3 linked regions of the Elephas maximus indicus genome follow. The protein of the gene in region 2 purifies or fractionates together with the protein of the main gene of each other region. This does not show direct contact. Links are inferred from orthologs where the notes say so. Each region holds a gene or a part of one and is shown on either strand. Other genes may lie near its edges.

What was found.
Region 1: the proteins of RMND5A (region 2) and RANBP10 purify together in Homo sapiens (affinity purification with mass spectrometry; 4 studies listed by BioGRID and IntAct, counting the BioPlex papers as one, with this or other methods). This does not show direct contact. The link is inferred for Elephas maximus indicus from reciprocal best matches to the Homo sapiens genes RMND5A and RANBP10.
Region 3: the proteins of RMND5A (region 2) and RANBP9 purify together in Homo sapiens (affinity purification with mass spectrometry; 9 studies listed by BioGRID and IntAct, counting the BioPlex papers as one, with this or other methods). This does not show direct contact. The link is inferred for Elephas maximus indicus from reciprocal best matches to the Homo sapiens genes RMND5A and RANBP9.

What each region holds. Positions count from the first base shown.
Region 1 is NC_064839.1:34,248,974-34,256,812, forward strand, and holds the start of RANBP10 (ran-binding protein 10), read right to left. Parts: upstream 3,011-7,839; 5' UTR 2,905-3,010; coding exon 2,670-2,904; intron 1,887-2,669; coding exon 1,775-1,886; intron 1-1,774. Other genes in the region: TSNAXIP1 (translin-associated factor X-interacting protein 1), read left to right, coding at 3,480-3,559. UniProt on the Homo sapiens protein: May act as an adapter protein to couple membrane receptors to intracellular signaling pathways.
Region 2 is NC_064835.1:47,823,643-47,831,614, forward strand, and holds the start of RMND5A (E3 ubiquitin-protein transferase RMND5A), read right to left. Parts: upstream 3,034-7,972; 5' UTR 2,531-3,033; coding exon 2,389-2,530; intron 1-2,388.
Region 3 is NC_064819.1:58,133,877-58,140,836, forward strand, and holds the start of RANBP9 (ran-binding protein 9), read right to left. Parts: upstream 3,011-6,960; 5' UTR 2,916-3,010; coding exon 2,333-2,915; intron 1-2,332. UniProt on the Homo sapiens protein: May act as scaffolding protein, and as adapter protein to couple membrane receptors to intracellular signaling pathways. Acts as a mediator of cell spreading and actin cytoskeleton rearrangement.

The DNA.
Region 1 (7,839 bases), on a different chromosome or scaffold from region 2:
CAGTAACCATTTTTTGGAATGTTTGTTTTAAGAGACCATTCTCATTCATACTAGCTCAAACACATTAAATATACAGTATGTGTGTTTGTATCAGATGGTAGGAAAGGAAAATAGGAGCTTTAAAGCCCTTCAATAACATAAAACTTTATCTGGTGGCACAATGGTTAAGTGATCTGTTAAGCCGCTAACCAAAAAGCTGGCAGTTCGAACCCAGCCACTGGCTCTACAAGAAAGACCTGGCCATCTGCTCCCATAAAGATTATAACCTAGAAAACCCTATAGGGTGGCTGTACTCTGTCACATGGGATTCCTATGAGTTGAAATTAACTGGACGGCACCTAACAACAACATCTATAAAAGTTCTAGATATAGATAAAAGTGAAATATGCAATATATTCCCATTATCAGAATTTCAGAATCACAGCATTCTGGGGTTAAAAGGCAGATTAGATGCTGGCCTAGCTCCCCACAGTGCAAACAAGGAGACTGAAGCCCCAAGACCTATCCAAAGCCACACAGACCTCCCAGGCAGGGAAATGACAACGTCACTGTGAGGAAGCAGACAAGGTTCTGACTCTGGCAGTCCTGCGTCCGGCACAGATTTTAGCTGGCCATTTTGCATGTGCCACAAGGGGGACTGTCCCTAGGAGAGAGGAAGTATTCTGAATGCTAGAGAATACACACTCAGGGTCGGCACGAAGGTCACTGGTAGGGTTGGCAAACTTCTCGCAGTAGACCTAAGACTTGATGAGGAAAGCCTTTCCAAAGCAGCTGCAATCATGTTATTTCATAACTTAAAACACCTGCTTTGTCACAATCACTGGAAAAAGGAGAGACTGGGAGAAAAAAAGGAAAAATTGAAAAATCTCCCTCTAGTATTCCCTCTGATTTCCTATACCTGTCCAAACCTGTTGCTATTGAGTTGATTCCAACTCATAGCAACCGTAAACGACAGAGTAGAACTGCCCCATAGGGTTTCCAAGGCTGTGAGTCTTTACAGAAGTAGAATGCCACATCTTTCTCATGTGGAGTGACTAGTGGGTTCGAAACGCCAAGCATTCAGTTGGAAGATGAGCACTCAACCACTGTACCACCAGGGCTCCTCTGTGTCTGTTTAGGTCACCCTAAAATAGGGAGTCTCCCTAACACTGACTTTAATGAGGATCTTCCCAAAGCTGGTCCAACTGGTGTTCAAGTTTCTGGAATGAAAAACAAGTTTATAGGCAGCAAGGTCACCTGATTTTGACCATGTGCATGCTGTTTACCCTGTGATGACAGGCCAGAGACTGCCACAGCTTTGATAAATGCTGCAAAGCCTCTACTATCTCTCTGAAGTCTACTAGGGCCCCCACACGACTAAATGCCATAAAAAGGAAACTTGAACGTGGCAAGGGTGTAAAAGGAGGGAAGTCACAGACACCATACTCTAGCTGGGAAACCCCATTCTGGTCACTGAATTGTTAATGTAAACTTGTTAACTGTTTCCCTGACCTGTGAGGTATCTCATTGCATCATCACCAAAAAGAAGTCCCTCCTCCACCCCCAATCCACCTACTTACTATCAAGGCCTACTACATAGACCAGGCCATGGCCACAGTCAAGAAACAGAGGCAGTCCACCACTGAACCATCTGCAGCCCAGACCCATGACTACACAGATAGTTGGCTACACAAATGTGGCTTAGCAGCTCACATTAGTTACAAGTGTTAGCCAGGGGATCTCTATCTCTGACAAGTCAATGTTGGGGAAAAGACAGTGGCAATGAGGGGCTTACCCATCTCTTCCTTTGCTGACAATCTTCACCTCAAAGTAATAAATGCCACAGGCAGCAGGTATGGGGTGGGTGGCCCGCACTGAGGCCGCATCTTTGTGATTTTTGCCATGACCTAAGCAGAGAGGGCAAGGAAAAAATTTCAGCAGAAGGAAATGCAAATTGAAGCCTCATTCTTCACTGATCCACGGCAACTTCAGAAAAGCTCAAAGGCTCACACTTCCATGGCCAGAGGAATCCCTCACAAGGTTCAAGGGATAATTAGACAACAGCTGAGCAACCATGTAAACCTCCCACCCTTGGTTCACCTCCTCTTGAAAATAGCAGCCCTGCCTGAGAAACTGTCTCCCATACAAACAAAAATGAGCGTACAAGCAGTGTAGGTGCATGTGAAAGATTTCCCAGTGCTACTGGCAGTCTCTTCAGGATACAGGCAGCCCACCTAGGAGACCAGCAGGAAGAGGGGTCCACCCTGGAAAATCTTCACTTAAAGGTAAGAGAGGCCCCGTCTGAGATGTCTGGCAGGAGAGCAAGCCCATGGGCATCTGGCTACTGGTGGAAATGTGACCATAATTTTCTTCAGGCACTCCTGAAACTAAGAAGTGTTGAAAGACCCAGCTAGAGCTGATCAAGCAGGGAAGCCCTCGGGTGGAAGGTCCAGCCCAGCACTGGGTTTGGACACCTGTTGCAGCTCTCTGGACCTCGAGTTTCTTGAGGACAGAGAAAATCAGGCAGTCACCCTCGGCCTGGTCAGCCCGACCACCCTGGGCCCCCCGCAACTAAGACCCAACCCAGAGCACCCAGGCCGGGGAAGGGATGTGATGGGACTGGAGCCGGACAGCGCAACCGTCCAAAAGACTTTCCAGGCTTTTTCTCCCGTGGCCAGAGTGGCCGATACCTTTGTAGTGGACGCGGAGGTTGCCCTGGGAGAGGCCGATGTAGTTGTACTTGTCCTTGGGACTCCAGGAGCGCGGCAGCGGCGTCTCGTGTTGGTTGACCGCGGGGTACAGGCGCTGCAGGCGCCGGCTCAGCTCCTGCTCCCCCGGGGACGGCAGACCGCCCCCCGCACCCCCGCCGGAGGTGTCTCCAGCCTGCGGATTCCCAGCTCCCTGGTCCGCCGTCGCCGCCGCCATCTTGGAGGGAGCTGCTATTGTGTCACTGGGGCGGGGAGGAGCGGGACCAGATCCGCCCCGCCCAGCCAATAGCCAACGAGTCTGCCGGGGCCGCAGGGAAACTGAGTCCGAGTCCAGCACCTCTCTTTGGACATGGCCACGCCTTGCCACATTTTGGACTTCATATCCCAAAATGCAGATCTTGTCAGGAACGGCCCAAGTCGAGCTGCTATGGAACTTTGGGAGATGTAGTGTAAACCTGCTCAGCCGTAAGTCTGTCCAACCGAGTCTTCGGAACACCGAAAACTACAATTCCCGCCACCAAAGGGGCTCCAGCCTCTCGGTTCACCTCCCTCCACCATGGTCGCCGGTGATCCCACTGCCTCAGTTGTTCTGGTACCTAGGGTCAAATCCGCTGCAGTGACTAACTCTTGAGGGGACCAGCTCCCGATCCCGAGTTCACTTTTGCTATTTGGCCTTCCTCCCAGGCCGCGGACGCCGGGCTCGAGGCCGTGGTGAGCGCAATCCTGACTCCGCCCCCAAGCCGGGCCGCTGCGGCAGTCGCCATGGCGACGGGTTGTACACTACGGTAGGCCATGGAGGCTGGCTGCTCGACCGCCCAAGGCGTCATGGCCTCCTCGCAGTCGCAGTGCTGCAGCTTTACGCCCCTCCCAAGGTAGGCGCCTTCTGGGCCGACAGTGGAGAAGAGAACTTGAGTACTTCTGGAGAGGGAGGCGGCATCTAGTCCCGACCTTTGCACCTCCTGCTCGCCTCTGTCCAGTGGCCTGGGGCTCCAGCCCCACAGGAGCAGTGGTGGAGAAACAGAATCCGGGCTGACTTGTCAGCCCAATGAGGACGTTACATGAATGAAGAACACCAAGGGCAGGGGAAGTTTATCATTAGTGTAACAGTCATTTTGTATTAAGTATAGATTATGTGCTAAGTGTATCGAACATATATTATGTGCTAAGTACGACCTTGAGTATATCACGCCTAAATTTTAGAGACCATCTCATGAATAGATTTGACACATTGAATACTAATGACCGAACACCAACGAGTTGTGAAATAACATCAAGGATATTATACATGAAGAAAGCAAGAGGTCATTAAAAAGACATGAGAGAAAGAAAAGACCTAAATCGATGTCAGAAGAGACTCTGAAACTTGCTCTTGAATGTCGAGCAGCTAAAGCAAAAAAAAAAATGATGATGTACAAGAGCTGAACAGAAGATTTCAAGGGGCGGCCCAAGAAGACAGAGTAACGTGTTATGATGACACAGGCAAAGACCTGGAGATAGGAAACCAAAAGGGAAGAACACGCTCAGCATTTCTCAAGCTGAAAGAACTGAATAAAAAAATTCGAGCCTCACCCAGGACAAGAACCATTTCCAAAGCCAACTCTTCAGACATGGATTGGACTAGACAATGGGTTGAAGAGGGATGCTAGTGAGGAGTGAGCTTTTTGGACCAGGTGGACACTTGAGACTATGTTGTCACCTCCTGCCTGGAGGGAAGATGAGAGGGTGGAGGGGGTTAGAAGCTGGCGAAATGGACACGAAAAGAGAGTGGAGCAAAAAAGCGGGCTGTCTCAATAAAAAAAAAAAAATTTTTTTTTTGGGGGGGAGCATAATTGGGAGTGTGTAGCAAGGTGTATACGGGTTTTTGTGTGAGGGAGTGACTTGTAAACTTTCACTTAAAGCACAATAAAAATTATTTAAAAAATTCAAGCCTCATTATGCTGAAATTAGTCAGTTGCAAAAGCACAAATATTGTATAAGACCACTATTATAAGAACTTGAGAAATAGTTTAAACTGAGAAGAAAACATTTTTTGTGGTTACAAGAAGGGGGAGGGAGGCCGGGTGGGAGAGGGGTACTCACTAATTAGATAGTAGTTAACTACTCTAGGTGAAGGGAAAGACAACACACAATACAGGGGAGGTCAGCACAACTGGACTAAACCAAAAGCAAAGAAGTTTCCCAAATAAACTGAATGCTTCGAAGGCCAGTGTAGCAGGGGCAGGGGTTTGGGGACCATGGTTTCAGGGGACATCTAAGTCAATTGGCATAATAAAATCTACTCAGAAAACATTCTGCATCCCACTTTGAAGAGTGGCGTCTGGGGTCTTAAATGCTAGCAAGCAGCCATCTAAGATGCATCAATTGGTCTCAACCCACCTGGATCAAAGGAGAATGAAGAACACCAAGGACATAAGGTGATTACGACCCCAAGAGACAGAAAGGGCCACATGAACCAGAGACTACATTATCCTGAGACCAGGAGAACTAGATGGTGCCCGGCTGCAACCGATGACTGCCCTGACAGGGAACACAACAGAGAACCCCTGAGGGAGCAGGAGAGCAGTGGGATGCAGACCCCCAAATTCTCCTAAGACCAGACTTAATAGTCTGACTGAGACTAGAAGGACCCCAGTGGTCATGGCCCCCAGACCCTCTGTTGGCCCAGGACAGGAACCATTCCCAAAGCCAACTCTTCAGACATGGATTGGACTGGACAATGGGTTAGAGAGGGATGCTGGTGAGGAGTGAGCTTCTTGGATCAGGTGGACACTTGAGACTATGTTGGCGTCTCCTGCCTGGAGGGAAGATGAGAGGGTACAGGGGGTTAGAAGCTGGCGAAATGGACTTGAAAAGAGAGAGTAGAGGGAGAGAGCAGGCTGTCTCATTAGGGGGAGAGTAATTGGGAGTATGTAGCAAGGTGTATATAAGTTTTTGTGTGAGAGACTGACTTGACTTGTAAACTTTCACTTAAACCACAATAAAAATTATAAAAATAAAAAAAAATTCAAGCCTCAAGTTGCAATACTGAAGGATTCTACAGGGAAAATATTAAATTGATGCAGGAAGCATCAAAAGAAGATGGAAGGAATACACAGAATCACTATACCAAAAAGAATTGGTTGATGTTCAACCATTTCAGGAGGCAACATATGATCAGGAACTGATGATACTGAAGAAAAGTCCAAGCTGCACTGAAGGTGCTGGCAAAAACAAGGCTCCAGGAATTGACAATACCAATTGAGATGTTTCAACAAACAGATGCAGCGCTGGAAGTGCTCACTCATCTATCCAAGAAATTTGGAAGACGGCTACCTGGCCAACCGACTGGAAGAGATCCATATTTATGTTTATTCCCAGAAAAGGTGATCCAACCAAATGCAGAAATATCGAACAATATCATTAATACCATGTGCAAGCAAAATTTTGCTGAAGATCATTCAAAAGCAGCCGCAGCAGTATATCAACAGGAAACTGCTGGAAATTCAAGCCAGATTCAGAAGAGGACGTGGAACCAGAGATATCATTGCTGATGTCAGATGGATCCTGGCTGAAAGCAGAGAATAGTAGAAAGATGTTTACCTGTGTTTTATTGAGTATGCAAAGGCATTTGACTGTGTGGATTATAACAAATTATGGATAACATTGTGGAGAACGGGAATTCTGGAACACTTTATTGTGCTCATGAGGAATCTCTACATGGATCAAGAAGAAATCGCTCCAACAGAACAAGAAGATACTGCGTGGTTTAAAGTCAGGAAGGATGTGAGTCAGGGTTGTATCCTTTCACCATACCTATTCAGTCTGTATGTGGAGCAAATAATCTGAGAAGCCAGACTATATGAAGAAGAACGGGGTATCAGGATTGGAGGAAGACTCATTAATAACTTCCATTATGCAGATGACACAACCTTGCTTGCTGAAAGTGAAGAGGACTTGAAGCACTTACTGATGAAGATCAAAGATTACACCTCAACATAAACAAAGCAAAAAATCCTCACAACTGGACTAATAAGCAACATCATGATAAGCAGAGAAAAGATTGAGGTTGTCAAGGATTAATTTTACTTGGATCCACAATCAACACCCATGGAAGCAGCAGTCAAGAAATCAAAAGATGCATCACACTGGGCAAACCTGCTGCAAAAGACCTCTAAAGTGTTGAAAAGCAAAGATGTCACCTTGAGGACTAAGGTGTACCTGACCCAAGGCATGGTGTTTTTAATCACCTCATGTGCATGTAAAAGCTGGACAATGAATAAGTAAGACTGAATGAGAATTGATGACTTTGAATTGCAGTGTTGGCAAAGAATTTTGAATATACCATTTGGCACCACTGAATGCCAAAAGAATGAACAAATCTGTCTCGAAAGAAGTACAACCAGAATGCTCCTTAGAAGTAAGGATGGCGAGATTATGTCTCACATACTTTGGACATGTTATCAGGAGGAATGAGTCCCTGAAGAACGTCATGCTTGGTAAAGTAGAGGGTCAATGAAAAAGAGGAAGACCCTCAAGGAGATGGATTTACACAGTGGCTGCAACAATGGGCTCAAGCATAGCAACATTTGTGAGGATGGCACAGGACCAGGCAGTGTTTCGTTCTGTAGTGCATAGGGTCACTATGAGTCGGAACCGACCTGACAGCACCTAACAAAAACAACTAGGACTTTATATACCACATTTAACTCTCACAATAACCCTATGAGGTAGTAACATCACCATTTTTACAAATGGAGAAATAGAAGCCTGGAGAGATGAGTGATGGAAATAGGATTTGAACTTAGCTCTGTCAAACTCTAGAACCTGAACTCTTAGCCATGGGAATAAACTGCCTCTTCACTCACTGGAAGACTCATGTCCAATGGGGGCTGACTCTAAGCAGCCCAGGTGTCTCCCATGGCCACATGGGTAGCTCCTGCCTAAACCCGGGTGCAGCCTCAAAAAGAATACAACAACAAGGTCCATTGGCCAGGAAGACCACAGAGAATATGAATTAGAACAAAAATGTTGGATAAGTACATTTCTAGCTTTGGAATTTCAGAGAAGGCCCTTAACATTCCGGGCCTCAGCTTCTATTTGTCAGACATGGAGGCAACACAGCCCACATCACAGCATTGTTGGGAGCATTTAGGCAGAACAAGAGAAACTCTTG
Region 2 (7,972 bases):
GCAGGCAATACTGCAGGCAGCTGGCTCGAGTCCCAAGAACTGGAGGTCAGTTAATGATGAGCCGGAGGCAGGATCCAGAGCAAGCAAGTAGGCTTTGCCAGAACTTTCATATATATACTAGATGCAGGCCACACCTGCAAGGAAATTCCCCTTACAGCTAATGGGATGATCACATCACATCAGATCAGGGAGAATAACGACATCATTATATAACTGCCAAACTACATCATTACGTAACTGCCAAACCACTGAGAATCATGGCCCAACCAAGTTGACACACAATCTTAACCGTCACACCTAGTCATCAGGCTTGTTTTAACAACTCTAGTGAAAACTGTTAAGCATAGATGGTTACTGACTCCCGATAACCAAAGAGCCATTGACCAACCACTCCTTTTCTAAGCCCCTGCCCTTTCGGTTTCTGCTGGCTCCTCTTTTGCCTTCCACTCTCCAAGGGGAGTTCAGGGTTGTGAGTAGACCCTACGGTCTTTTCTCCCTGCGGTCTAAATGATCTCCTCCTCTCTTCTGTAGAAATGACATCATAAAACAGTTTTAGACATTACTTTTCTCTCAAACTCCATCTATGCATCTCCAGCCAATAGAAAATTTTAAGATTTCTCTCTATCTTCATTATGCCCTTCAGATCTTACATATCCAAAACCGAAATCACCACAGCATTCCCAGGATTCACACCACTTCAACTTTGTTTCCCCATCTCTACCAACTATATCATCATCCAATAAGTCAATCAAACTTCCCTTCACAGGCAGCCACCAGGTCTGCTGGTTCTTCCACAGTAACATTTCAACTCCCTTCCTTTCTCATTCCACCTCCCACTAATGTTGCAGGTTTGCTTCTTCCCTGGACTTGAAAATTGACTGCTGTGTCCAAAATGAGATGTTGTCATCATAAGACTCCCTTACCACTGAGTAGCACTTGCTCTCAACTAAAAGGCAGTCCTGGGAAGGGAAGGTATAGAAGGAGGAAAGGGAATCTTGGCTAATGGCACCACCCTCATCTCAACTGTCACAGTATCACATCTCTCCCCAGCTAACCAAACCTTCCTTTACATAAATTTGTTTCGCCCACAAGTTGAGTAGCCTCCCAAACCCAAACTCTTAAATAAACCCACTAAATGAAAAGTCCTTTACTTCACAACCAAAATCATCACTCTGATTCCAGGTGAGTAGTGCCGCTAAAGACGGTTCCATTCCCACGACTCTGTCGTAGGTAGGTTCGGATATAAGTCGCTTATCTTTTGTTTTCATCATTATTGCCTTTTATTATCACTCTTTTTAAATCCTACCTTTGAACGCATGCCAGTGAACATGTGGGTATGACAGCAAATTATAAGCTCCAGCACTGTATGTAATTCACATTAGTAACCATTAGATGCAAAATACAAAACAACACAGAAACATCTGAGATCAGTTGGTTCTAGGTCCTAACTCAAACACATCCTAAATTGGTGACTACCTGTCTTTTAAAGTAAAGACACCAGATCTTTCACGTTATTTAAAGAAAATGGCGCGGGGGGGGGGCTTTTCCAAACAGCTTCCGCAAGTTAACTGGCAAAGTATCTGTCCCCAGGGCCTAGGACAATAACGAACTAACCCGGGTAAAACGACTTCTATAGGAAATCTGTTTTCTGAATGGTAAACAAGTAAAAACTTGACTAGATAGGGCGAATAACTAGGAACTTAAGCCACAATTTGATTCAGGAGAGTTTTCTGGGTTTTGCCTGCTCCTTATCAGTCTCATCACAGACTACCCTGGGAGAGCTTAACAGTTTGATTCAGCCGGTTTCCTAGGAACCAGGTCAGTGGTGCTTCAGAGTTCAACAAGAGCTGCTTCCACACAGCAGTCAAATTATAAAGTTGCTGAAGCAACTGTTCAGTTAACCTCCAGCTAAGGATAACACTCGACTTTCTAGTAAAAAAGACAACGAAACAAAGTTCACCGGCTAAGGGTCTGGGGTGGGGTGGAGGAACGGGCTTCCTGCGCTGACCCTCTTACCACCTAGACGCACTTCCCACCCTCTGGACCGCGCCGCGGGGACAATGTGGGCGCCCCAGGGCCGGGCGGGAGCGAGGGGCGCCCATCCCGGGGGGCGGCAGTTTGCAGATGCCACGGACGAGCCCCCCCACGCACGTTTAACCCGCTGGAGCCCGCGGCTCCCAGTCGGCTTTCCGGGCGGATTCCCGATTAACAGCGATCTCCCGGCAGGCTGGAGGTAAGCCGGGTGAGATGAGAAGGCAAGGTCCCGGGGGCCTGGGGCTCTCCGCGCCTCAGGGGCGGCGGGCGCCGGACGGCTTTGGGCCCCCCACGGCCTGGGGCGGGCCGGGTGGGTGAGGGCTGGCCCAGCCGCGCGCCCACCGGGCCGCCTACCGTGGCTCTGCAGGATCTCGTGCTTGAGGCCGCCGGTGTAGTCGATGAGCTCCTCCAGGCCGCGCTCGCACAGCTGCCCGTAGCCCGAGAACTTGTGTAGCACCTTCTCCAGCTCGCGCTCCACCGTCACGCACTGATCCATGCCGGAGGCAGCGGTGGCGGCGCTCGGCTCCTCGGTGCCCGGGGCCCCGCAGCCGTTCGGCCCGGGCCCGGCCGAGGCCGCGTCCTCCTCCTCGTCCCCCAGGCGTGCGGCGCGGGCGGCTGAGGCGGCCGAAGCGACGGGAGCGCTAGCCGCGGCGCCGGGGGAGCCCCGTGCAGCCTGTGTCCGCCTGGCCCATGGCGCTCCGGCCCCCCGCGCGTCGCCGCCGCTCCCGCTCGCCCCTCCCCGAGCCCGCGTCCCAGGACCCCGCTCGCCGCGTTCGGGTGCCCGCGGCCGCGCCGCCGATTGTTTTTGTTTTCACGGGAACCGACCGATGACCTGGTTCTCCCGGGCGGCACCAAGCGCCGCCGTCCGAGGGGGGGCAGCCACCCCAGCGAGGAAACGAAGCGGCGCGGGCCGTACCAAGAGCACTCTCACAGGGGAGCAGGCCGGCGAGCGCGGGCGGAAAGACGCTACGGGCGTCCGCACGCGCCGCCGCTAGAGGTGTGGGCCGTACCACGCGGGAGGCGTGGAAGGGAGAGGGCGAGGGTGGAGCGAAGATCCAATTGGTCCGAGGAGCCGAATAGGGAACTTTGGAGACAGCCCCAGCGCTCGCAGCCAACAACTACGCGCTCCGTAAACAAGGGGGTGGGAACTACCCGTAGCCACAGGCCCCAGAAACAGGAAGGCAAAGCAATGGGGGCAGGGAATACGTAGGAAACAAACGTCCTCCAGTCCCTGGCCAGAGCCTGAAACTTCAGCCAATCGGGATTGAGAGGCCAAACCAATGGTCTCGCTGTTGGAGGGGGTAACTTGGAGAACGTACCGAGAGAGAAATCTTTTCTGGAAAGCATGAGGGAAAACAAGACAAAAGCAAGAAGAGTTATTTTCCACAGGGCTTCACACTAACCACAATTTATTTCATCTTTCTGTCATTCCTAAGGGAAGGAACATCGTCATTCCCAAGTTGTGGAAGGCAGTCCAGCTGCCCCTGAGGAAAGGCCAAGACAGGCCGTTCGGGGGCGGCGGGTGCCAGAGGAGGGGGTCGGTAACGGAAACGAAAGGCGAGGGGGGCGCTGGCGACGACCGAGGGTAGCCGCTTGCCGGCCGGGAATGGCCTGACGAGGACGCCGCGACCGTCGGTGCTGCGTAGACGCTTGATACAGCCGACGCGGCACATTGCCCGCTCCCGCGGGTTTTGGCCCTTGGCCCCTCGGCCTGCAGCCTCTCGTGACCCGTCTCTTCTCCATGTGCCGTGAGCCGGGCAGCTTCGCGAATGGAAGGAACACGCATCGCAGAGCCGCACGACCAGGACGCGGCTTCTGAGAGGCTTTATTTCGTCGAACAGGACCGGGTTACTCCCCTTGCGTAAACCCTTGCTCAGGCTTTTCGCGGCGTCTCCATACCCCCTTGCTTTCCACGCTTAAGCTGCACTAACCTTGGTGTCGGTCCTACCAGCCTGGCTGGTTCCTGCCTTAGGGCCACTGCGCTTGGTCATTTCCTTCTGGAAAACTCTCTCCTGCCTTTATTATCCTAAAGTTCCCCACTCATTGTCCCTCGGAGGGGCCTCCCAGACCAAGCTAACGGCCTCTGCCTTCCCTCACTCCCTCCCCAGCTGCCGTCTGTTTTAGTCATCTAGTGCTGCTATAAGAGAAATACCACAAGTGGATGGCTTTAACAAACAGAAATTTATTTTTTCACAGTAAAGTAGGCTAAAAGTGCAAACTCAGGGCGTCAGCTCCAGAGGCAGGCTTTCTCTGTCGGCCTTCTCATCAATCTTCCCGCAGACTAGGAGCTTCTTGGCACAGGGACATGGGGTCTAAAGAATGTGTTCTGCTTTCTAGATGGTATGAGGTGCCCCCTTTCTGCTGGCGTCCCTTTTTAGCTCTTGAGAGATGAAAGGCGATGTAGACCACACCCCAGGGATGTGAGCTGGTAAGGGTGTTACAATCCCACCCTAATCCTCTTTAACTTAACTTGAAATTACAATCACAAAGTGGAGGACAACTACACATTATTGGGAATCATGGCCTAACCAAGTTAACACACATATTTTGGGGGGGGGCATAATTCAATCCATGACACGGTGTCGTATCTGTTATATAACCAGTTTTGTTTTCTTCGCATCACTTATCAAAACCTGAAATTGCCTGATTCATGTATTTTTTTAGTTCTCTGTCATTACATCAATAAAAGCTCCATGATGATGAGCAACTTGCCTGCCTTCCTTTTTCTGTGCCTAGAACAACATGGTTGGCAATTATTTGTATACAGCTATAAAAAAAAAAAAAATTTTTTTTATGTGTGCGTCTATTTTTTTAATTAAGGTGATAACTTTTTTGAGCCTTAGTTTTTTATAATTTGGAAATAATAACTACTTAACTAGATTATTAGGGAGATTAAGTGAGATAATATGTGTAAATGCTCATAACAGTTATACAATCCAAAAAAACCCCGTTGCTGTCAAGTCTATTCCGACTCAGAGTGACCCTATATTATTGTCAGTTCTTGAGAATAAATCGTAGATGGCTACGCAAAGTCATGGAATCATGTTGATCTAGTCCCCAGTTCTTTCATTCATTTCTTGGTGATTCTCAAGGACAGCCTCAAGTGTCGCATTACAGATCTTTCTTCTCCCCCCCATGCCCCACTTTCGTTTCACCCCTCTTTCTTGGCAGGTGACCCTGATTCCTGCTTCACTGAAAAGGTTAAAAGAAAAAATCTAGCTCTAGCACCCTCTGCTTGAGTGGACATTCACCTAAGGTTCTTTCCTCAACTTTCTCCCTTTACCATCTGTCCTCAGAGAACACGTCACAATTGCCAGTTGGACAGTTACTTCTGTGGATAACCTCACCAGCCCTGATAATGCTTCAAAACCTCTAGCGTCATGCTGCCCTCAACCAGCAAGTCATTATCTAGAGGATTCATGGTCACCTCCAATCAACATGTCAAAAACAGAATCCATAATTTTCCTTCCAAAACCAACTTTCCTGCCACTGATGCTCAATTTTTGTCACCATTACTGTCTCTTCTGGGTTCCTCTGCCACTTCTCCATCCTCATCTCTAACTTGCTGATAGGATTCTTGAAAAGCTTTTCTCCATCAGATTTCTTGACTCCACTAAACTGGTTCCATTGCCATCGATCTAGATCATTCTCAAGATCCCTCTGCTTCATCTAATGCCTTCGTTCATCCTAGAATCATTGGTGTTCCCTTTGTCTTCATCTATATCCCTAAAGATCCAGATTATCTCACTCTTGTATTCATCATGTCTTGTCTTCATTAGTACCGTTTACATGTTTCCAAGGCTATTAAAATTGCTTCTCTTTTACCTGCCTTTGGTCTCTTACCCCTACAGTACCACCAAATGAATTTTTTTTTCCTGTCAAAGGGTTGTTACAATAATTAAATGAGATAATGCATGTAAGGCACTCGATGTAATGTCTGGCACGTGGAAAGAGCTACTGATTATTCTGTTCAGTAGCTCCCCATTACCTACAGCTTCAAATCCTCTCAGCTGGGCTGCATGATCTGCCTAGTGTAGCAACACATCACCGTTCCCATCCAAACACTAGCACTTTTACATGCATGCATCAAAACACATTCACACTTTCAATGTGAATTGAGCACAGCTCGTTCATGTATTTTCTTGTCCTGTAATGTTTTTCTTCATTCTCAGCTATTCAGATGCTTCCCTTTCTTCATGTAACAGGACAAGTCACACATTACTGATATTATCTAGAACCTAGACCTGCACTGTTCAATATGGTAGCCACCAGCCACATATAGTTACTTGGAACTTAAATCAAATTAAAAATTCAGTCTCCTGCCTGGAGGGGAGATGAGAGGGTGGAGGGGATTAGAAGCCGGCAAAATGGACATGAAAAGAGAATGGAGGGAGAGAGTGGGCTGTCTCATTAGGGGGAGAGTAATTGGGAGTGTGTAGCAAGTATATGGGTTTTTGTGTGAGAGACTGACTGGATTTCTAAACTTTCACTTAAAGCACAATAAAAATTACTTAAAAAAAAAAATTCAATTCCTCTGGAGCCCTCTTATAGCCACTGTGGAAAACAATTTGGTGGTTCCTCAAAAAGTTTAACATATGACTCAGCAATTCTGCTCCTACATACATTCCCAAAAGACGTGAAAGCAGAGACCCAAATAGATGCCTGCACACCAATGTTCATGGCAGCATTATTCACAAGAGCCAAAAGGTGGAAACAGCCCAAGTGTCCGTCAACAGATGAATGGATAAACAAAATGTGGTATATACATACATTGGAATATTATCCAGCCATAAAGAGAAATGAAGTTCTGACACATGCTACGACATGGTTGAGCCTTGAAAACAAGCTGACTGAAATAAGCCAGCCACAAAGGGACAAATATTGTATGATCCTAGTTATACGAAATATCTAGAGTAAGAAAAGGCATAAAGAGAAAAGTTTATGAGTGGTTACAAGGGGTGGGGGGGGGGAGGAGAGAGAGAAATGGGGATTTATTGCTTAAGTGGTTAATGAGTTTCTCTGTGGGGTGATCAAAAACTTTGGAAATGGACAATGGTGATGGTTTCACAACATGGTAAATGTAATGTCACTGAATTATACACTTAAAAATGGTTAAAATGAGCTAACAGATACATGAGGAAATGCTCACGATCATTAGCCAGCCATTAGAGAAATGCAAATCAAAACCACAATGAGATTCCATCTCACTCCAACACGGCTGGCATTAATCCAAAAAACACAAAACAATAAATGTTGGAGAGGCTGTGGAGAGATTGGAACACTTATATAGCGCTGGTGGAATGTAAAATGGTACAACCACTTTGGAAATCGATTTGGTGCTTCCTTAAAAAGTTAGAAATAGAACTACCATAGGATCCAGCAATCCCACTCCTTGGAATATATCCTAGAGAAATAAGAGCCTCTACACAAACTCATATGTGCACACCCATATTCATTGCAGCACTGTTTACAATAGTGAAAAGATTGAAGCAACCAAGGTGCCCATCAACGGATGAATGGATAAATAAATTATGGTATATTCATACAATGTAATACTACCAAAACCCACTGCCACCGAGTCGATTCCAACTCATAGCGACCCTATACTATGCATTGATAAAGAACAGTGATGAATCTGTGAAACATTTCATAACATGGAGGAATCTGGAAGGCATTATGCTGAGTGAAATTAGTCAGTTGCAAAAGGACAAATATTGTATAAGACCACTATTATAAGAACTCAAGAAATAGTTTAAACAGAGAAGAAAATATTCTTTGATGGTTACGAGAGGGGGGAGGGATGAAGGGTGGGAGAGGAGTATTCACTAACTAGATAGTAGATAAGAACTACTTTAGATGACAAGAAAAACAACACACAATACAGGCGAGGTCAGCACAACTGGACTAAACCAAAAGCAAAGAAGTTTCCTGAATCAAC
Region 3 (6,960 bases), on a different chromosome or scaffold from region 2:
CCTCTTGGTTAGCTTCGGTAGCACTTAACCACTATGCCACCAGGGTTTCCAAAATTTTTTTTAGGTTAAAAAAAATTCACTCTTCTATTATTTGACTTTGAAGTTTTATTACCTATGACACTTCCCCTTTGCTCCCTTCCTTTGCAACAGGGACAGAGTTGCCCAATACATTTGGCGTGCCCCACTCAGAAGGAAGACGCTCAGGAAAAACAAAACATACACACACACATTAAAATAGCAAGACAAGAGGAAGAGACAGTAGAAAGAGGGGAGGGTAAAAACAATGCCCGCGGGAGGGGAGAAACAAAGCAGGGAAAGAAGAGAGGGAAAGAAAAAGGGTGACAAACAGCAAAATCTGTGCTTCCGGAAAAAAATGGTTTACGTTTATAAAAGAGTGATGTGTACAAAAAGTGAATCTTAGCATTACACAACAGAAAGTAATAAAAAGACCAAGAGGAAAAATAATTGAGACAGCAATGTCATAAATATTCCAAACTCCAACCAATTTCACATAAGCATGCATTCTTCTCTGCTCTGAATCATCCATCTTGTATAAAAGGAGTCAGTAAAACTAATCAAGGCACGTTACAGTGTTAAATAAACTGTAATCACAAATCTTAGATACCATGAAAGTCAGAGGTGGAAATTTCCTAAGCCACCATCCAGCTCTACCCACTCACCACTCAGATGCCTACCCTGCGTTGTGACATGCCTAGACTGCAGGACGCAGGAGAGCTCAGGATTATCCTGTCAGTATGATACAGGGTTCTTCTATATCATAGTGCCTCTGGTTTTATCATTATATCTAAAATGATAAAGTTCTGACAAGTCCAACAAAAGCCTTCTGGTAGCTAGATCAGAAGTAAACACTTCCTAACAGCACTGTTGACGCAAATTAAAAAAAAAAAAAAAAGCAAGCCTTCACACAGGTATTAACGAAGCGTCCTAACTAAAGAAAAAAGTTGATATTTTCAAGTTTTCAGTCCTTTAGATTAAGAAACGTAACACTTAGAATTTTAAGTACTTCTCTGAATCTATGGCAAGAATAAAAAGGAGTATTCACCACAGCCTAGTTTTGTGTGTGATTCTTTGCAGTCAAATCATAAGACAGATTTCTATTGCCATTCTCCTTTCTGATTAAACAGCAACTTATTTAGCAGGGTTCTTCTCAAATTTCAGCCCAGTACACTTTAAGAATTTAACCACAACGCTGTTTTTACCCTCTATATTCGGGTCACTAGGATCTGATTAAGACCCTCCTTTTGCAGCCAATCAAAATGAGGCTGCTTCGAATGTGAAAGCTCCTGCTCCAGGTTTGGGGCCTGAAAAACTGGATTTATTTCCAGACAGGCTGATCCATCAGATCGATATTTTTCCCCCAGACAAGTAAACTCGACGCATGCTATTAATTTGGGCTACATTTCAAAAATTGCCACAGCAACTTATAAATGTATGTACAACTGCTCCGCTTAAGCTTTGTTTTAATGTAAAGGAGGTGGGGGTGGGGGGAAGTACAAATCTAAAGAGTTTTTTTTAATCACAGGTGTAAAATATGAGTCAATTCTCCTTAAAATACTAAAAGATGTTAAAAAAAAAAAAACCGTTCCGTTCGATAAGACCTACTGTAATAACGACACATAAACACAGAACATTTCCAGTCAGGAGCGGTACTAGGTTTCCCCTATCCTAAAAACACGCGCACTCCTGTCGTTTCACCCCTCAGATCCCCCCAGTTGCTTTTACTAAGGCATAAAAAAAAAAATAGTAACGGCAAACTTGGGCCCCTTGTCCTTTTGTCCCCTTAGACAATCTCCGGCCTAATTTTGGACAAAATCCTCGGCTGATTACTCCTCCCCCTACATATCCCTGCTCTCCCTTAATTAGAAATCATACCTCCGTCGAGCCTCTGTCTCCCTCAGCCTAAGAGAACGCCTGACCCATCACCCGGAGAACAATATAACCCAGCTCCGAGCCCATGGATTCCCCCATCCCAGCCCTAAAATTTATCTCGAAGGGAAATCAGAAAGAGAGTTATGTCCCTTCATTCTGGATTCCCTCAAGGTGTTCTACTCTAGGCCCTAGGATTAGCAGCTCCATTATACCAGGACCAGTACAGACTCACCCTCCTGTCCCAAGAGTCTCGCCCCTTACCCTTGAACCCTCCACCGTGACCCCGGCGCCCACCCTCGGGGCTGCAGACGAGCGGCGAGTCACCTTGGAGGGCACCCAGCCCAGCGAAGGAGGGAGTCGGGGGCGGGCCTAGAGTCGGAAGCGGTGGCAGGACACGTCGGGTCAGTGCCCCCACTCCCACCCCAGGACACACGCCCAGTACCTTTGTAGTGCACCCGCAGGTTGTTCTGAGAGAGGCCGATGTAGCTAAACTTGTCCTTCGGGCTCCAGGACCGAGGCAGCGGCGTCTCCTGCTCGTTCACAGCCGGGTAGAGGCGCTTCAGCCGCCGCTGCAGCTCTTTCTCCTGCTCGTTGAGGGCCGAGTCCCCGTGCGGGAAGGGGGCCGCGGCGCTGCTGCCGGCAACCAGGGCTGGGGCCGGGCCACCTCCGGCCGGGCCAGAGCTCACGGCGAGGCCTGGGGGAGCCGGGGGCGCGCTGGCAGGGGCTGCCGCCGAGGCGGGGGGCGGGGGCGGCGGCGGCGGCGGCGGCGGCGGGGCCGCGGTGGCCGGGGGCGGCGGCAGCGGCGGCGGGTGGAGGAGCAGGGCGGCCGCCGCGGCCCCCAAGCCGCCGCCGCCGCCCGCGCTTCCGCCGGCCGAGCTGGCAGGAGAAGAGCCGGCGCTGACGGCCGCGGGCGCCGGCACGACGACTCCGGAGACGGGGGCCACGGCTGCCGGGGGTGGCGGCGGCAGCTGCTGCTGTTGTTGCTGATGCTGCGGCGGCGGCGGCGGCGGCGGCTGCCCGGACATCCCGGCCGCGACTCAACCTGCGGCCACCTCCACTTCTCTCCTTCCTCCTCTGCTTCCCGGGGGCGCTGTCGCTGCGGCCGCCGGCACCAGGCGCCCAGTCCGCCCGCCCCGGAAGCAGGCGGTCGGGCCGCGCGCCGAGGGAGAGCGCGACGGTTGGGGGCTCGGGGACGGGGGCCAGGAAGAGAGCCCGGAGAGGTCCCGAGAGAACGCTGGCCGCAGCTGGGGCGCGCGGCCCCGGGACGAGACGGCGAGGGCGGCGCGGGAGCGCGGGAGGAGAAAATGCGGTGACGGCAGCCGCGGCCCCTGCTCTCGCGGCTGTTTCCCGGCGGGCGGGCGGGCCAGGCCGGCGCCAGACGCTACGCGCGGGCGGTGCTAGGCGAGGGGGCGGGGACGGAGGCCGAGAGCCGCGCGAGGGGCGGAGGGGGCGGGCCCGCGGGGGTCCCTGGCGCGCGGGCTGCGCGGTCGGGCAGGTGTGTGTGTGAGGCGCGCCGAAGCCCCGGAGCGCCTGTTCCCGGGCGCCGCCGGCAGCTCGCGGAGGGGCTGCCGGGCTCCCCGACGCCGCGGGTCCCCTTCGAGGGCCCCTCCCCCGCGGGGCCGCCGACACCCCTGCCGGGTCCTCCCGGCGGCGAGTCTCCTCCTACTTTACTTCTTTTTGTTGTCGTCGTCCCACCTCTCCACCGGGGGTTACCGCCGGAGCGGCGGCTGCAGCTTCCCTCCTAGGCGAGAGTAATCGAGCCCCGCTAGGGTCGCCGTGAGCCCGGGCCCTGGGCGCCGCGGGGCTCTCGGAACCGTCCCCCAGGACCTGCGCCCCCGACCTCCAGATGGGTCCCGAGCAGAGCATCTAAGGGTGCCCAAAGAGGGCTCTGCTAGAGCCCTTGCCTCGGTAATACGCTCCTCTTTGCCTTCTCCCTCTTCGCAGAATCTAATACCCTAACTTAACGTGTGGGGACTGGAAACCATTTCTGAAGGCAAATTCTCCCACTAGAAAGTGTGAGTATGTCATTAATTAATTTTAGGATGACTTAAAGTGAACTTTATTGGTAGAAGATGCCCCGTTAGGCATCCTATTGAAGACTGGCATACCTTCAAAGAGCGGGAACATGAATACAAGATTACAGTGTGTTCTTAGGAAGGGCTTCTAGAGAAGTGAAAGCATTTTGTAGACTCATTAATTTTCAAGGTCTCTTTTTGTTAGGTAGCAAAAAAGTATGCCCATTTTTAAGACAAGGAAATCTTCACTGAGGTCAGCAGAGTCAAAAATAGGACTTCTACTTTGCCACTTCCAAGAGGGTGCTGGGTCGACTAATTTGGCACAACTCGTTAAGTGTTGCTCTGTGACCCATCATACCAAAAACCCAAACCAAAACCACTGCTGTCGAGTCGGTTCCGACTCAGCGACCCTATAGGACAGAGTAGAACTGCACCATGGAGTTTCCAAGGAGCACCTGGTGGATTTGAACTAGCAACCCTTTGGTTAGCAGCCATAGCACTTAATCACTACACCACCAGGGTTTCCAATGACCCATCATAGCAATACTGTTTTTGTTTTTTTTTTTTTCACCAATTTTCTTTTGTTTAGGGTTGTCCTTTCCCTATCCGGAAACCCAGGTGACCAAAAGCCGGCAGTTCAGACCAATGGGTTCCGTTTGGTTTTTCCCTAGCTGGTAGAATCTGGGTTTGCACATGTAAATTGTGTGATATAAATTCCAATATTTCATTTGCTTCCAAAGATACTGTAATGGTAAACATTTGGTCAAATAAGCAAGAAACATTTTGGTGAATAGAGAATTATTTATTTTGTCTTCCAGAGTGTAGGTCAATGGTGACTTAATTGAAGGCCCTCAATCTCTGGCCAGAACTAATAGCAAAGTCATCAGTCTTAATTTCTCCCTCAATTATCCAGACAACTAGATGCCTTGTTGTTCTTTAATTTAAAAAAAAAAAAAAAAGATAATTCCAACCTCTTGTTGACTTTTGTCAAGCCACTACACTTTAAATTACTTGATTTCATTGTATTTGAATTGTTTTAAAACTTTCATTTATTTTATAGTAACAATGAGTTAAATGTAAGCCAAGCTCTATTTAAATGTAAAATGGCCATGGTAAAATAAATGGGCTCTAATTTTAATCCTCATTAGGAAACGCTGGTGGCGTAGTGGTGAAGAGCCATAGCTGCTGACCAAAACGTCAGCAGTTTGAATCCACCAGGCGCTCCGTGGAAACCCTTTGGGGCAGTTCTGCTCTGTCCCATAGGGTCACTATGAGTCGGAATTGACTCAACAGCAACGAGTTTTTTAAGTTTAATCCTCATCAAAGGAGCCTTGGTGGCACAATGGTTAAAGCCCTCAGCTGCACACCTAAAGGTCAGCAGCTGGAACCCACCAGCTGCTCTGTGGAAGAAATGAAATCAACTTGATGGCAGTGGGTTTCTTGAAATTATCATCAAGGTTCTATTTATGAAGAGGTACTTTTTTTCTGCCAGCACACTTGGAAACCATTTACAACTTCACATATCCTTGGAAACTTTTATAGGAAGGACTGTTTGCTCTCCAAACAAGCAACCTCAAGAAACTAGTAATTTCACTTGTGGGGGAGGATCTTGTGAAACGGGTATTCTCTCAAACCAGAGGTGACAGAGAACACTGATAATACCATTTTGGAAAGCCACATATTTGGTGATATTAAAAGGTCAGAAGGATGTTCATGCCTTTTGATTTTTCTGTTCGAAGAATTAAAAGTCAAAATCTAGGCCCAAAATATGGCACAAGAAAAACAGCGTGGCAGAGGCGTCTGACCTCCTCTGACTTCACGAGGGGGAGAGAGTCTTCATCAGCATCGACAGCCCAAGGCTGGTTCCTCTGAGGCCAGAGGTCAGACATGCCTCCTCTCTCTAACCTTTTTAGCAGTTCTGACACCAGCTATGCCTCCCCAGCACTCTCTCCTGTGCTGAGTTTGATAATTCCTTGCAATGGTCACACAGAACTCACAGACAATACTCACAGTTAGGGGGTTTATTAGGGAAGTAAAACCAAAACCAAACCCATGGCCGTCAAGTTGATTCCGACTCATAGCAACCCTGTAGGTCAGGATATAACTGCCCCATAGAGTTTCCAAGGAGCGCCTGGCGGACTTGAACTGCCAACCTTTTGGTTAGCAGATGTAGCACTTAACCACTACGCCACCAGGGTTTACATTAGGGAAGTAGCAGGCTGTAATTCAGAATCAAAAACGATTCAGGATACAGTTTGTGGATTTTTTCAGCCGTGCCTGCAGGCAGGCCTCTTTGTCCAACCCTCGGCCCCATTGGGCCCTCAGCCCAGCCTCTGCCCTGCTCTGGCAAGTGTTACAGATCTCTTTAGCTCTGCCAATCAGTGCCCGGAGGCACCCCACTTAGCCAGGAAGCCTCTTGCCTGAGGGCACTCAGCTCTCTTGCTCTGTGTCAGCATACCCACTGACGCTGCCTCACTCCACGGGCCAGGAAGCCCACAGTGCCATCTTGCGCCAGTCTCCTGGTTCTGCTGCTGCTGGTCCTCTGCCACACTTGTTGCCGCTTCTCACCATCTTGCGCTATCTCTGATCTTATGGCTCTCTGTCTCCTGGGTCTAGGAGGTTCTCAGCACAGGGATCCTGGGTCCAAAGGGCACACTTCACTCCTGGCTCTTCTTGATGGTAGCGGGTCCCCCCTCTCTGCTTGCTTCTTTCTCCTTTTTATCTCTTGTAAGATAAAGATGTGACTCAAGTAAGGGTGTGACTTGAATATGGGTGGTCACTAGGGTAAAGGTGGTGACTTGAGTCACACCCTGTAGTAAGGTGGTAACTCAAAATACATCCCACCCTAATCCTGCCTTATTAGCATAACAGACAACTCACTCCCAAATGGGACCACAACCACAGGTATAACCAAAAAAACCAAAACCATTGATTCGATTCCTACGAGGCTAGGATTTATAACACATCACAAAATGGAGGATAATCCATCAAATCACAAAATGTGGGATGACTTCATCATTACATAACTGCCAAACCACTGAAAATCATGGCCTAG